Coturnix japonica: one gene and its partner. The protein of the gene in region 2 interacts with the protein of the main gene of each other region in a pairwise test. Links are inferred from orthologs where the notes say so. Each region holds a gene or a part of one and is shown on either strand. Other genes may lie near its edges.

Region 1 (8,009 bases), about 41 Mb from region 2:
CCTCAGTAAGACCCAACACCCCAACTTAAAAGCACACTGGTTGTTGGAGATCTACTGCTTTTTATCAGTAACCAAAGTGTGCGCATGATACACCCATACTCACATGGCACATGTGCAACATCCTGAATCTCTAAATGGAGCTTTCTTAGGTTTAACGATGTGAGTATTTATTAAATAGGGATTGCCTTCAGAAGCCTTAGGTGTCTACAGAGATAAAAATCTCACTTACAGTTGCAAGATCCAGAGTGCTTTACTTCTAGAAGCACGCCCATGGAGCAGGCTGCCTCCTTCATGGCACACTCGCTCGGGTAAGTCGTGTTATCACTGGCACAGACTGCCTCGTCTGACTTGCTTTCAGGGCAGAGCTCATCACAGAGGGCACATCGACCTCTGCCAACCTTAAAATCCCACAAGCATTTCTTCCCAGCACTGCATTGAATATCTTCACAGGACTTCGCTTCTAAAAATACACACGGAATACTAGAGGTAAGTGAACAGACAAAGGAAACAAAAAAAAGCAACCCCTAACAGCCCCAAACTCAATTTTCCCCAATGAACTATGAATAGTCAAAGCTAAAATGCAGTAGCTGGGATGATTCTTGATGGTCTTAATCAAGTAGACCCTTGGATACCACTGCCTATCTGTACAGTAGGGAGAAAGGACAGGTGTGCCAGTGGACCTTGGCCCTAGCAGTATGGAATTACATTTGCCTATTGCACATGACCTTTCTGCTCCATTTCCTGTCAGTGGACATTCAGCTCACCAAATTAGTGATAAGTGGAGAATTTGTCAACGCATTCAGCATTTCTAAATCAATTACTTTTAAACTAACCCACATAAAGCTGCTGTCTACAGGATTGTTAAGGGAATTCACCTCAAGCTGTGCCAACCAAAAGCAGCCTGAGATTCTCCAGCATCTCAGCAGCAATTTGGAAGGGCAGAGGTTGCCCTAAAGTTGCTTCCTTGCAACATATTTCACTATCTCCTCTTTCTCAAAATCACAGTGCAAAATGTCAGGATGCACAGAGGTTATTTTACTATCTTCACCCGATAGCTGTCCCCAAACTCTGCAATATTTTTAAAGAGTAAAAAGTAATCAGATGTTTCCAATTAAATTAATGCAAGCTTTGCCAAGACCACTTGAAGACAATTGTTTCCAGGAATTCAGATCCACTGAATATCAAGACCTTGTTATGCCGTAGCCATGTAATTATCGGCCTAATGGTGGATACTTCTCTCTTGGACACAAATGTCAGCACCCACAGTCATGGCAAGAGGAGCAGGATCAACCCCTCTATGCCCCTTTTGCAGTTTTTTTGTTGGTTTTGTTTTTCCTGGAGCAAAGCTCACTCTGACTCTCGTTTCTTATGGAGAGGAAAACAAACCAAGGCTGCTGGGAGTCTTACCTTCTCCAAAGCACAAACTTACTCCCTCCTTCCCTCACTTCCCTCCCCCTTCAAACAATCCATCCACCCATCCATCCATCCATTCACCCACCCACCCACTTCCACATAACATGATAAAACAGATGAGTTTGCAAGCTCCCCCCTGCACTTATCCCTCTGGCCAAGATACCTACTGATGCATTTTCCCTCGTAGGCTAATCCAATGGATCTGCCCAGCAGGCAGGTCGCTTTTCTCAGGTGGCAGGCACTGGCATAAGTTATGCCATCATTCCCACAGAGATACTGTTCAGGGGAGGTAGGCTCAGGGCAAATTCGATTACATGTCACACAGTAGGCGTTATTGGTTTGATCCACCACACATGTGGAGCTGCCTGGGCATAAAACATCCCTACAGGTCTCTGAAATAAAGATGGAAACAAAAAATGATTAATAGAATATGTGGGCGCCCCAGTGAGGAGTGAATTGGTGACAGAATGATACAAACAATCGGACAAAAGCCTTCAGCATTGGTACTCATTTAAGGGCTGCTGGAGACCTTTCCATCTCAGGGTAGCATGAGGAACACAACTGCTGCTAAACTGTGAGGAACTCTCAATCAATCCAGCTATATCCTAGACTATGAGCATGGTTGGAACATCACTCTGGTTACTGTGGAGAAGCATGCAGCTCCTCCTCTTTACACTCACACACACATCCTATGCCATTTGATGGAAATTGGAAGAGATTTGCAAACCTACTTTTGCACTTGCCCTGATACTGGACTTCAAGTTCGGGCTGTTCTTTACATCTGGCTTTGAGAAGGGCACACTCGTTCCTGTAGGTTTTCCCATCTAAGCCACACACGGGGCCCTTCCAGGTGATATTAGAGCAATCTGGAGCACAAACACACCGAGGTTTGTTCTTCTTGTTCATTTTACATTTCTTCCCGGGTCCACAGTCCACGTTCTCACATGTTTCTGAAGGAAGGAAAGAGGCATAACTTTATTACCAAACATGCAGAAGAGACTTGTGTCAAAAGCGCCCAAAGCAAAAAAGACATGGAGACCCCCGGGCATAAAATGACAGCACCCCTCACACTGCTACCATGCAGGAAACAGACCTGGAAGGAAATCCTGGAGCCAGGAGAGCCACGTGCAAAGAGCCCCCTCCCCATCTCCCACTGACCTGTGCGGATGAGGAGCAGCAGTCCCCCTACCCCGGCGCTGCTTTGCGATGGCCCTCAGCCCTCGGCGGTGGGCAGCACGATTACAGCACTGCCGTCTCCAGGCCCTCATCTGGCCACCCCATCAGGCCACCCCAAGCCCGAGCCACCCGCGACTCCCGGCCCCCTCACCTTTGCACGGGATGCAGTTAGGGGCTCCCCCATTAAAAATCATCCACTTAAAGAGCGTGTTGTCGTTGACGTCCTCCTCCGTCCACGAAGTCGTCAGGCGGCCGCTCTTGCAGCACTCCTCTTTGCTGAGGTCGGTCTTGTAGAGGACCTGGCAGCGGCCGTTCCGTGCCTGCCGGAGCCAGCAGTTCCCAGCTGCGGGGGACAGGGGCGCACCGGGCCGGGTCAGTGCCGGGACCAGCGGCACGGGCACCGCGCGCGCTTCGCACTGACTTTTACTGGACTGCTGGCATTATTTGTCCCGTTCCACAACCCGCATCCGGCCCGGTCCGCTTGGGTGAGATAACAATAAATAAATCAGAAAGAAAAAGACCGGATCAAAACAGCACGAAGCAGTTTCCCAGGTCTTTACTCCATATGTAGAGCAGAAGGAGCACTGCCGGCACGTGACAGAGGCTTGAAAAGGATGTGCATTTAAAAGGGAATAAAAAGAAAATCGCGCTTGCAGTTCCTCCCTCCTCCCCCTGCCCTCTCCGACGCGGCCGCCCGGCAGCATTGTGTTAGTGCCGCACGCACCCCAGCCCCAGCACGTTTTGCAATCCGCACCGACTGGGAACATTCGCTGTGAGCGAACTCTTTCGAAATCTCCACATTTCGCTTCTTCTATTAACAAACGTCTTCCCTTCGCTAAAACAACTCAGCGGAGCTCCGACAACAAAGACAAGAAAAAAAGTCAGCAAAGTACACGAAACAGGAGGGCACCCCGATAGAGCTCCCTGCGGAGTTCTTCAGAATCGATCACACTGGAAAAGTAGGAGGTGCTGTCTCCCCCGCGAGCGTTTCAGAGGAAAGCACGCAGCACGCTGTCCTCAAACCGGACAGTGGGTTTTTTTTTTCCTTTTTTTTTTTTTTTTTTCCTTCCCCCACTGGTATCCCTGTTATTCGTGGAGTCAAGCCAAGAACATGAGTCCAAGCAACTCCCCCTGTTTTAGCTGGAGAGTTTGGGTTGGGATGAGCCTCTCGTGCATAACCAGTGTGACTCCACCAGCGACTCGATACCAATTGATTATGGTGCCCACCCAGCCAAGGCTCGATCCTGCTCCTTCCTCCAACGGAGCGCACCGCACCAGGGCCGGGCTCGGCCCGCCGGGGCGCCGCTGGGCGCGAGGAACATCCTCCCCTCACCCCTCCCGGCTACAAAACATGGAACAAACAACGCCCTTGCAGAAAAGAAAAAAGAAGAAAAAAGAAAAAAAAAAAAAGAAAGAAAAAAGAGTTTTGCGTCTTACAGTTGCCTACATTAACTATTGCTCTAACTCGGGAGGGGGAGAAGAAATGGGAAAAAAAAATGAAAACCCAGACATGCAGGTTGGGACGCAATCAGTATCAGGTGGAAAAAAAACAAAAACACCCCAAACTGCAAATCACTGTTTCCTAGTGTCGAAAGAGGGCTCTTAAGAGTTGTCAGTATCAGGTTCAGGATCGTTTTGTTCGCATGGGAAAGAATAATTAAGTAAGCAAACTTATTTAGGCACACTCCTCATAGCAGGAGAATTTACAACACTTATTCACACACACACAAAGGGGGTGGGGGGAGGGAAGGAAATCCCAATATTGAGGGAATGCCCGGAAAGTGACCACCACCGCTTCTGAAAGTGTCAGCTGTGCGCCCGGGGCTTCTGTCAGAAGGCGAGATAAAAATCTGAGTAGAATTACCAACAAACTTTGAGCACTCGCTCGGGACATGAGCGCAGGAAAGTTCCCCGCGATGCTGCTCCTCATTCACGCTGCATAATCACGAGGAGTGCCAAGAAACATCCCCCCGTGCCCTCCGTGCCCATGCGGAGCAGGGAAGGTCCGAACCGAAGGGGAACCTACGTGACATCTCCGCGCCCTGTCCCGAGCAGTCCCGCGCCCGCTGCTAACTTCTGTCCGTTCGGACCTTGGAGAGAGGCGTGTAACAAACATCGCAGCGAAGTAAGCAGCGCCCGAAAGACGGAAAATAAGAGTAATAGTAACAACACTAATAATAAAACACACTTCCGAATAAACGCTGTGGTCTTACCCAGCGCTGTGTGATCTTCCATGAAGTGGTAGAGAAACATCAGGAGTACGAGCATGCCCGGGTGGATCCTCTGATTTAACATCCTCAGCGTAGCAGGGAGTGAGAGAGACACAGGAACAGCGTGAAGGGGAGTAGAGAGACGGAGCGAGCACCAGCCAGCCTGCTTATGATCGCTCTATTGAATGAACGTCAGGCTCTGAATGCAGTCTCTCTTTAAATCTATACGGGGGTCTTAGCTGTCTGCGGTGGGCGGTCTCCTAATGTGTGTGTGTGCCTGCTCGGGGGTGGGGAGATTTAAAAAGTTCAGTGTGAATCAGGTGACATTTTCCACCTTCTGGAAACCCTCTCCAATTATCTGCTGGAGGTGCACGCACACACGCGGGCGCGCTCCCCCGGGCGCGCACCCGCGCAGCCCCGCGCGGCGGCGGCTCGGCTCGGCTCAGCACGGTGCGGTGCGGCCGGAGATCGCGCAGCCTCCGCGGGCGCAGAGCGCGGTCCCGGCGCGGGGGGCGCAGCTGGGAGCGGCGCGGCTCGGGAGCAGCTCCCGGCCGGGGTTCTCCCCGCGCGGCGGCTCCGCGGCTGCCATCCCCGCGCGGAGCGGAACGGAATGGAGCGGAGCGGGGCCGCCGCGGGCGGGGAGGCGGCCGGCGGTGTCGCGGCCGGGGCTCGGCCCCCAGAAACCCGAGAGGGAGAGAGCGATCAGCCGAGCACCAAACAAACAAATAAATAAATAAATGGAAAGAAACCAAATAAAAGTTTAGTACGTAGGGCTCTGCCCAAGTGACGGCCTTTTTCACTGGGAGCCTGGGAGGACGAGACGGGAATGGGGGCGACGTAGGCGGTCTCCTTTCAGAATCAGAAAAGATTGCAACATCGATAATGAACTTCTAGGGCACTAGTTTATTAAGCACAGTCTGGCATTATTCTCCTCTTAGAAAAGTTGGCGGTCGCTCATTTATAACATTTTTGGCACCGCTGAATGAAACTGAGTAGGCGATATTTCCTTTTATACAAAACGATTACTTAACGGAAAATGGTATTGTTTATTCAAAAGCTGCCTTTTTAATTTCGATTCTTTCGCTTTTCTGAGCCACCAAAGCACAACAGACTGCGAAGTATGCAGACAGGAATGCCCGGACAGTGCCGGGTCAGGGCCCGGTGCGCGCGGCCGCCCGCGCCTCCCCCGGCCCTCCCCGAGCCCTCCTCCGCGCCGCCTCCGCCGCCCGCCCCCTCCCCACAACTGCAAATAACTCAGCGATAACAGATTTTTTTCCACCAACTGCAGGAGATAGTGCTAATCTTTTAATAAAAGATCCCATTACAATGGGATCTGTCTGGACAGACTATAATAGATCCAGAAATACAGCCGTGCTAATATTAGAAGACAGTTGTTTGGGTGCCTCAGCCCGGGCCCGGGTCCCGCTTTGAAAGTGGGCATGAATCACAATGTCCCCGGTGCCACCTGCAGTCACACGCATTAAGCGGCAGACTGGTAAATGATTGACCTCGTCGCATTTCTCTCTCTCTCTCTCTCTTTCTCTCTTTTTTTAATCCTTCATTTTTTCCTATTTCTTCTTTTTTTACTCTTCTGTCTTATTTTCTTTCTTTCTTTTTTTTTTCTTTTTCTGTTGTTTGTTATCATTACGACCACTGTCCCGCCTGGCGCCCAGGCATTTTCAGCACTTCGGGAGCACCGCATCCTTTTAAATCTATCTTTCTCCCGAATTGGTGCCGCTCCCTCACTGTCCCTGCCTCTCCCTCCGCGCACGCAGCGCTGAATGCAGGGTTGCGTAGTGCCCTCTAATGGCAGATGGCATTAACAATTGACATCGCAGCACTCCGGAGCCGCGAGGGAGCCCTCCGAGGCCGCCGCTTCTCGTGGAGCGGACGGACAGAGCCCCGCGTAGCGCCCGGCGGCAGCAGCGCAGCGCCGCGATCCGGCCCTGGGCACCGTGCGGGCGGCACTGCGCTGAGATCTGAGCCTGCCGCTCGCCCCGAGCTCACCTTTCACATAGGCTCACCTTTCTCCTGTTTTTCTCTTCTTTTTTTTTTTTTTTCTTTTTCATTTTTTGGCTCCCCTCTCCAACTTTATGATGTATTTTTCTTTCTCTTTTTTCTTTCTCTTTCCCTCCCCTCCCCCCCCCCCGGCTCCCCCCAAAATTGGCCCATATGGTGTTTATCCTGAAAATGTTTTCAACTATTAGAGAGGCATTTTCAGGCCGTATTCCTGGAAATGAGATGCCGGATGGGTCAATAACGTTTGCACATGTGCTTCATGCGTGCATCATCGGGAGATCAATATGATTGCGCTGGTATGGAGATTTGTATCACACCTGTTCTCTGACATCACATAGAAACAGCTGCTGTTTCTTTTATTGTTTTGTTTTGTTGTTTTTCTTTCCCCCCTTTCTTTTTCAAAAGCTAAATTTTGGGTTTGTGTGTAATGACATGTCAGGGATATATTGTACAAACAGAAATGCTCTCTTCTTTTTCAGTGTGTCCCTCCCTCTTGAACTTCCCCACCTTTTTCTCCTTTGCCAACTATCACATTTAAATTACCAAAAAAACAATAGGGTTGATCTGTAAATGAATTGTCAGGCAGCACACAAAAAGAGTGTTGTTCTCAGCCTGTCGGATTCTGAAACTTCTTTCTACCAAGAAGTGTATACATTTTAATATATGTGTTTGGATGTGAATCCATTCTCTACAGCTGGCCCTGAACTTAGAATAATAAAGCTTTTTGAAACACCCGCATACGTTGACATCTCAAACGTTTGGAGAGTTCAGATATAGCTCTCGGTTTGTGTAAAATGTGTGGTTTTGTCCTATCTCTAGTAGAGCTGTATCTACAGCAGACCCCAAAATATTAAGTGGCTGATCTCTTAGGAAATTGCTGTAAAACACTGAGTAGGAGGAAGAATAATCCCCAAGTGTAACCTTGTGTAACTGCTATTAACGCACATCCATGTATATGTGGATTATTTGTTTCATGATAAGTCAATATTCACTGCATCAATATGAGGTATTTTGTGTACTCTGTCTCCCTCAAAGTGCAATCTCTCGGCAGAGGAACTGTTGCCTGTGTCAAGAACAGGTCACCTCAGGACCTTCTCTTTAACAAGGAACATGTCTACTTAAAGTTTTTGTGGGTGTGGATGGATTGTGAGGAAAACCTGATTATTTGGAAGGGTTCTGGATTTGGAGTGA
Region 2 (7,882 bases):
CTTGGTCTTCTCTTTCCATCAGTCCTCTTCTATGCTGCTGCCAGCTCCTTACTGCTCCTACTAAAAGCTCAGATCATTGTACAGTCCCAGCGGGGTGTCTCGGTTTCAGCTGGGATGGATGGAAAACATTAAGCAGCTGTCTACCTTGCCTGGTCTCTCAGAAGACCCTTCTGTTGTGGGGTTGCTAAGAGCAGGTGCCAATTGCTACTACAGTGGTGCACCGGTGGCAATATTGCACCAACCAGGACTCCCTAATTCCCATTCATCAGCTGATTTACCAACTGGAGAACCAAGGAGTAATCAGCAAGACTTGCTCACCCTTTAATAGTCCCATATGGCCACTGTGAAAGGGGGAAGCTCCTGAACACCTGCAATACATTGATGACATCATCATGTGGGGCAACACAGCAGGAGAAGTTTTTGAGAAAGGGAAGAAAATAATTCAGATCTTTCAAAAAGTCTGTTTCACCAAGAATTACCTGGGATAAAGAAGAATGAACTCTGATGGAACCAGAACTAGCTTCTGCATGCAGTAACCCAATACTGTGAATCATCCCTCCTGCACTGAAGGACTGTTATGACAGATGGAGCTCAAAGTTATGAACTAAATGAATACCATGGACAATTTAAATGGGTGGCTCATAGACTACTGAAAATAAATGTGTGTGTATATATATTAAAAAAAAAAAAAAAAAAAAAAACAATAAAAAAGATAGGGAATGGTAATTAGGATGTGTAGAAATTGTGGGATCTGAGCATGATGTAAATGGTATGGAATAAAGGGTGGATATTGTCTTAGTTTCAGCTGGGACAGAGTGTCTGGAATGCTGCTGTGTTTTGGTTCTAGCAAAAAAACAATGCTAATAACACACGGATGTTTCTAGTTGCTGCTAAGCAGTGCTGTACAGAGCCAAGGCTGTTCTCAGCCAAGGGCTCCCGGTGCTCAGCCACATGATGGTTAAACCACAACATGGGGGCGCCATATGGAGGTCCTGCAAGAGATACCACACTTGCCTCTCCCATCTATGAAGATAACCCAAAGCTGAGGCTGCTGTTCCCTGTGGAGAGCACTGTGCCACCCCTCTGAGCTTAGGGACCCTGAGGTTGAATTAATCTCTGTGGCGCAGCACTGGAAGGAAAGGGGCTATGGGAACATCACATGCTGCTGATACAGCCCTGAACAGGTCTCTGGCTTCTGCATGCAAACCACATTGAACTGTACTAAAGCACCTGCGCCAGGTCATAGTCCTTGGCTTGCCCTGCACATCATGCAGAAGAAATGCCAGGAGGACTGACATCTCTTACCCTGCAGGAGATGGATGCACACAGACACAAAGGCAAAAGCCACAGGAGAGGTCAAGAATGAAGAGAAAAGCAAGGCAGATGGAAGGCTGACAAGAAAAACAAAGCAAAACAGCTATGTGAAAAGAGATGGATGTCAGGCACTCAGAAGCAAAGCTTGTACTTGTGCACCAGTTTGTAATTTGGACTGGAAGCAGAAGTGAAGAACTAGACCCACATTACCACCCATTGCTCCACAATAGAGGCTCCCTTCAAAAGGCACTGGAGAAAACATCATCCTCTGTGCAGATCAGACTTGATGTTAAGACAATGAATGGTGGGAGCCAGAGAAGCAGATAATGGAACTGCATGAGCTGGTTACTGCCACGTGTGGATTTTTGACTTCTATTACCAAGCTTTCAAAAAGCAGTTAAGCATTACTGCACCTTGAAACCTGCCTGCATCACTGTGCAATGCATCTGTGCTGAGCATGGATCCTGCACGCTGCTTTTAGCACAGAACACCAAGGGGAGTGGGCAGCTGCAGAACCCTGTGAACATCACTCATGGGATGTGCATTGGGATGGCACACAGAGGTTGTGGTGGCCCAGGGATGGTCCTGCTTCCTGCCAGCTTCCTGGAAGCACAGGGCTGATTCCTGGAAAGTACAGTATGTGGCAGTGCTCTCCCCCTCCTTTCTGTCATTGTTCAATGGCTTCTCCTCCGTCTTTCAACCAGATGTGCTCTGCCAAGTGTTCAAGAGAGGCTGGGTGATTGGGTACGTCACCAGTGAGAGCAGAGCTCTGTGTGCACTGCGCATATGGCTGGCAGACACCCAGCACACCCATCTAATTATTAAATATTTATTGCACCTTTAATGGGTCAGTTACAACAGAAGAGTGCTCCCAAGGAGCAGGCTGCAAGGAACGGGAAAGCACCATTAAAGACTGTCAGGGCCAGATGAAATGCAGCGTGGTAATGCACTGCAGATAACCCGTCTCTCCTGCGATAAAACGTGGTGCAGCTGTTGCTGCAGGCAGTTCTTCCAGCAGCTTCCTCCCTTTGGCAGCTGTCTGCACCATTGCTTAATGCCGGACGTGCCCAGCCCTCTGTGACATGGCCAGGCTTGGATCTGCTGTGAAACTGGCCCTTCTGCTGCACTGTGTGATTCTCACTGTATCCTCTGGTCACAAAGTCCAGCGCCACTTAGACACTGTATAATGCCTTGGGAGAACTGCTGGCTGACGGGCCAGGACTGGAGGGTTGTATTAATGGGGTTACATGGCAGATTGTCACCAGTGGGGTCCTGCATTGGCTCCATTTAAGGTCCAGTCTCTTCAGTGGGTTATCGGGGAGCTGAGTGCACACTGATTGTCCTCTGATGGTGCTGAACTAGGGGAAGCCGTTGGTTCCCATGCAGGAACTGGATGATCTTTGGGGTCTCTTACAAGCCAAGGGGGCTGGGAATAAAAGGAAAAGGAAGATATGGAGCATGGGCAGACAGGGGACAGACACACGGACATGGGGACAGGCAGACACGTGGCACGGCCAGCACACAGCCCGTGTCGCAGCACATGGGTGCTGGAGGCAGAAAAAAAACCCAGTTTTAAAACGATTTTAAAACAGAATCGAGAAATAAAACAGGAGGAGTCCCCCCATACGGGTTCCCACCCCCTCCCCTCCTCCAGGGCAGGATCCTGCCCGCCACTTCCTGCTCGGCGTTACGCAGCACTTTTTCTTACAGTCACACGGTTGGTTTTTTTTTTCTTTCTTTTTTTTTTTTTTTTTTTTTTTTATTTCTTTTTTTCCCCCTATTTTCCCTCCTCTCCCCCCTCTCGCTGCTCCCCCCAACCCCCGCCCTGTGAAAGAACTATAACGGCCGCTCCCCTTCCCGCCTCGTGACGTCACCCGCGCCATGGGCGGGAAGGGGCGTGGCCCGGCGATGGGCTGAGCGCTCAGTGCGCATGCGCGATGCAGCGGTGGCTATATAAGGGCAGGCCCGGGGCGGCGGCGGCAGAGCGTTGGTTTGGCGTTGCGGAGTGAGGACCGGTATAGACACAGCCGAGAGCGCAGCGGCGTGCGGGACGCGCGTGCGCGGGGACGAGCCCGTTGTCCGCCTTGTGACCGTACAGCACAGTGAGAGCCGCCATGGTGAAGAGCGTGGGCAGCCTGGTGAGTGCATGGGGCGGCACGGTGGGGTGTGGGTGAGGGGGGCTTGGTGTCGGCGCCGGGCCTTGGGCCGCGCTCCTTTGTGTGCGCTGAGCCTGAGGCCGCTCCCCAATGGCGGCTGCGCTCCGGCCGCAGGGGGCACTGCGGGAGCGGGTTAAACTGCAACACGTCGCCCTGACCCTTGGCTGTCAGCTGATGGCCGCGATCACAGAATGACCCGGGTTGGGAGGGACCTCAAGGATCATGTAGTTCCAACCCCCCTGCCTGGCAGGGCCACCAAACATACGCCTTTACTAGATCAGGTTGCCGGATCAGCACGGCCCAAGGGCGGCTCGGTGGGTGTCAGACATCGTGCTTATAGCTGGGGTCTTGTATTAAGGCTGTCCCAGCTATGCTGAGGGCGGTGGATTTCTTACGGCGTTGGTTGGTGGCCTCCATTTTGGGTTGCTGGGAATCCCTGCTGCATTGAACCTCTCCTTGCCACCTGTTTTCTCGCAGCCGGCCCTTGGAAACTGAAATCTGCTAACATAATGCTGCCTGCTGCGCCCAGCAAAGTGAGGCCGAGGCCTCAGGGAGGCACCAGATGGGTATTTGAAAAGTGTTTATGGGCTTTTCCCCTCCAGAGGACTAAGGAAAATATTGCTGAAAAAGCTGTGAGATCCTCTAACAGCTGTAGCCACGTGGACTAACAGGGGGAGGTGTCCATTCTGATAATGGAGATATTTCTGTATGAATCTTATTAATCCATACTTACTGCAGAAAGACTAGAAGTCAGAAAGGTCAGCCAGTTTTCCTGCTGTATTCCTTACTTCAGGGATATTAATGTTTTCTGAGGAAAAAATACCAACACTTACCCCTTGCTGGGTATCTCAGGGGTAACACCGTTGGACCTCGTGTCTCTTCTCAGGCTGCCTGTAGCAATTTTAGCTAATTCTAGGGATGACTCACAGGGTAACGCCTGGCTGCAGCTGGAGAGCAGTGCTCAGATCTCCAGTGGTGTATGGGTTGTGATCTGCAGGAAGTGCCATGTCCTCCCACTTTGCCCTTGTTCTGTGCAATATTGCCCTGAGATGTGTGGTCATATGATCAGCGCGTCCCAGGGATGGCCTTCCTCATGCAGGGTACAGCAATCAGTCATTTGGACTGAGGAAAATAGTCCAATTGGTGGGTGCAGGAGGTAGAATTAATATTAATAAGGCTGTTACAGCACTAAGTTGTGAGAATATATGCCAGAAATCAGGGATTTGGAGGTGGGAGTGAGTGAGGCTCTATTTAACAGCCTTATGGTTTTAAGTAACCACTGGGAGCAGATAGCATGGACTACTGTGTATGTGAACGCTGAACTTTGCTGGAGGCAGTGTTGTGCTTTAGAGACTGGGATGCAGGAATACACCCCACATTAGCACAGTGGTGGAGAAGAAGAGAGAGAGGAAGAACTTCTTGCTGCCACCCTTGCCTGTGTGTTGGATCAGCATCCTCTGCTTGCTCTGCCTGAGATACTTGTTTGTTTTTTAGCATGCAAATATTTCTTTCCTTCAGTGCCTTACACTTCTGTTGAAACATTTGCTCTTTGAAAACAGCGGCACATAAGGAGCTCTGAAATGCAAAGCGTGATGTCCAGAAATGTCTCTTGTAACAAAGTGCAACAGAGATATCTCTGTTAACCTTAAATGTTAGTTGTTACTGGCATAGACTGTGTAGCTTTGCATTGAGTACTGGAGTTACACCCCAATTTACTTGGCATAATAAAATATTTATATGATGAAGCTGTTGCTCTAGGAAACATGCTGTAGGGTAAACCACGCAACATCTTGATTCTAACCATTGCTTGGGAAAGGTATCAGACCATGAAACTGTGGAAGTTTGTCCTCAGATTCTGAGGAATCCTAGAAGAAAATGGACGACATCCTATTAAATTGGAGATTAGAACTGAATGCTAAGGACCGTCAGGATCACGTTAGAAGTGTAACATTACTCAGTTTAGCTTACGGTCTCAGTTCATGCTGAGTTCTACATAAACTTCCACAGTTCAGTGACTGAGCATTGTGATGTTTCATAATTGATACTCATAATTCATCAGAAGACAGTGGGGGATGCAGTGCTGATGGAGCTAAGGGAAAGCTGACTTGGGGGTTAGTCTTGAACCTTTTGCAAATGAGGGGGGAAATCCTTAATGTTTTGATTTCTTTTTTCTTTACAGTCCGAATTTGAGGCAGAACTGAAAGCTGCTGGTGAGAAGCTTATAGTAGTTGATTTCTCTGCCACATGGTGTGGACCATGCAAAATGATCAAGCCATTTTTCCATGTAAGTAGCTTTTGTCTTTCACAGTAACTTTAAGTATATAGAAATACTTCTGTGCAACTTCTAATATGGTGGAAACCTTCTTTGTCTATGGTGTGTTTTCCTGAAGGAGGAATCTTAGAAGGATATGATAGGTAACTATTGAATAAAGCACTTGGATACACAGCGGGGAACTAACACACTGTAGCGTTTTGTCTGTCCTGGTGTGCTGATGCATCAGTCTGTAGGGACCTAGCTGGTGCATTTCCACAAGAACTGGCAACAGTGGAGTTGAAATAATGTATATATGCTGGCTCTGATTATTTAAACTGCGTTCAGTTAAGCTGTAGCATCTTTATGTGTTGAGGGGGAAGCCATAAGGGAAGGAAAGGCCTTTCCCTTATGCTTAGGTGCTTCAGCAGACTCTTCCAGGGGATGGAGCTGGAAATTAATTTCTGGTCAGTAAAGCAGCTGCTGTAAGGTAACATGTTAAGTCTGACAGCACCAGTTTCTATGAATGCATCTTTTTGAGAACTGGCTTTCCTGGACCTGTAACTACATAATTTCATTTTTCATTCTAGAGTCTGTCTGACAAGTTTGGTGATGTGGTGTTCATTGAAATCGATGTGGATGATGCCCAGGTAAGGTCCAAAGGGATAGTAGGTTTGGAGAACCACAGAAGTGGCAATGAGTGTCCTTGGATTTATTGAAACAAAATGAGATGGGCACCACCAACTAGGCAGAAAAGAATGAATGTTTAGAGTACATGAGAAGAATGAACTGCTTTAGTTATCTGCACTGTCTTAACCCCTATGGCACACATGAGATAACTTGGGAACACTGGTGTTCTGCCCTTGAGACTTCCTCCCAAAGCCTTAATCTGTTTTGATGCAATCTCCCCTAAAACTAATAGCTTACACAAGTACAAGACTGTCTGGTCTCACCACTGCCCTTGGCACTGTTTCCTCTTTCATGTGTTGAACCATGTGTAATAAGATGTCTGCTCTATGGCAGTTTCAGTAGTGTAGAATGAGTACTTAAACAATTTCAGGCTGAAACAGCAACATTGCTGTAGTGTTCTTGAGTACTCTCCAAACACAGTGTGGATGCAGTAAACACGTGCTCTTATTGTATGAATTAGATTCTGAAGGGAGGATCTTTTAGGTTTGTTTCAGAAAGATGCTAATATTGCACTGCCTTTGCAGTGCTGGACTAGAAAAGATGTTTTTCTTCTTTTTGAACAGTGATGACTTTGTCCAACTTCCTTATCAAAAGGAAACCAGTGGGTTCTAAATTCTGGTGTCCTTCAGACATGCACAGCTGAAGACTGTTTTCTTTCTCTTCCAGGATGTTGCTACACACTGTGACGTGAAGTGCATGCCAACATTCCAGTTCTACAAGAACGGAAAGAAGGTAGGCTTCTTTTTTTATGGAACTTATTTTCCTGGAAGAGGCAGGCTAGGCCACATAGTCTGCTTTCTCTTAATAATGTATCTGGGTCACAACTGGCACTGGGACACTTCTAAGAGCAATTAAATTAATCTTAGTGCTACAGCAAATACAGCATAGACCAGATGCAACTGATGAAGCAAACTCTATTAATTAGACCTAGTGAACTAAGTCTTGCAGGTCAGTCTTATGGGCAGATCTTCATGATGAATTAGTGAGGCTAAATGTGCAAGACTGCCCTAATGCTCTGCTTTTGCTGATCTGTTAGCATTCATTCTCTGTACACAGTTCACATTCAAGCAGGGACGTGTCTATATGTGTAGAATCCCTCCTGACATCAGTTAATAATCTGAATATACTCCCATCTGAAACCACTACTTGAGTGTTTTCACACAGACTGTGAAACCTGTGGAGGGACCCCATGTAGGTTGCAGGACTGAACAGAGCCCCTTTGCATTATATGCTGTGAGCTGGATAGATGGGATACAGAGCAGGTGCAGGGACAGGCTGCTCCAAGCAGTTCTATCAGAGCTTGATAGGACAAGGTGCACAGCAACACAAAGTGGCTTTCAGCTGCTACTGCCAGGAGGTGGCCTCCAAAATCCTTCTGAGCTGCAATTATGACTTTTACACACCACTGATACAGGATTAATTGATTTTTCTCTTTTTTTGTGTGTGTCATTTTGGGCCTGAAGAAATCTTA

The links.
Region 1: the proteins of TXN (region 2) and FST interact in binary tests that used the Homo sapiens proteins (3 or more experiments, as listed by UniProt). The link is inferred for Coturnix japonica from reciprocal best matches to the Homo sapiens genes TXN and FST.

The regions. Positions count from the first base shown.
Region 1 is NC_029547.1:17,652,480-17,660,488, reverse strand, and holds the start of FST (follistatin precursor), read right to left. Parts: upstream 4,885-8,009; coding exon 4,803-4,884; intron 2,933-4,802; coding exon 2,741-2,932; intron 2,364-2,740; coding exon 2,145-2,363; intron 1,806-2,144; coding exon 1,581-1,805; intron 461-1,580; coding exon 230-460; intron 1-229. UniProt on the Homo sapiens protein: Multifunctional regulatory protein whose primary function is to antagonize members of the transforming growth factor beta (TGF-beta) superfamily including activin, myostatin, GDF11 or bone morphogenetic proteins (BMPs).
Region 2 is NC_029547.1:59,050,716-59,058,597, reverse strand, and holds the start of TXN (thioredoxin), read left to right. Parts: upstream 1-3,227; 5' UTR 3,228-3,428; coding exon 3,429-3,452; intron 3,453-5,649; coding exon 5,650-5,754; intron 5,755-6,311; coding exon 6,312-6,371; intron 6,372-7,077; coding exon 7,078-7,143; intron 7,144-7,882. UniProt on the Homo sapiens protein: Participates in various redox reactions through the reversible oxidation of its active center dithiol to a disulfide and catalyzes dithiol-disulfide exchange reactions.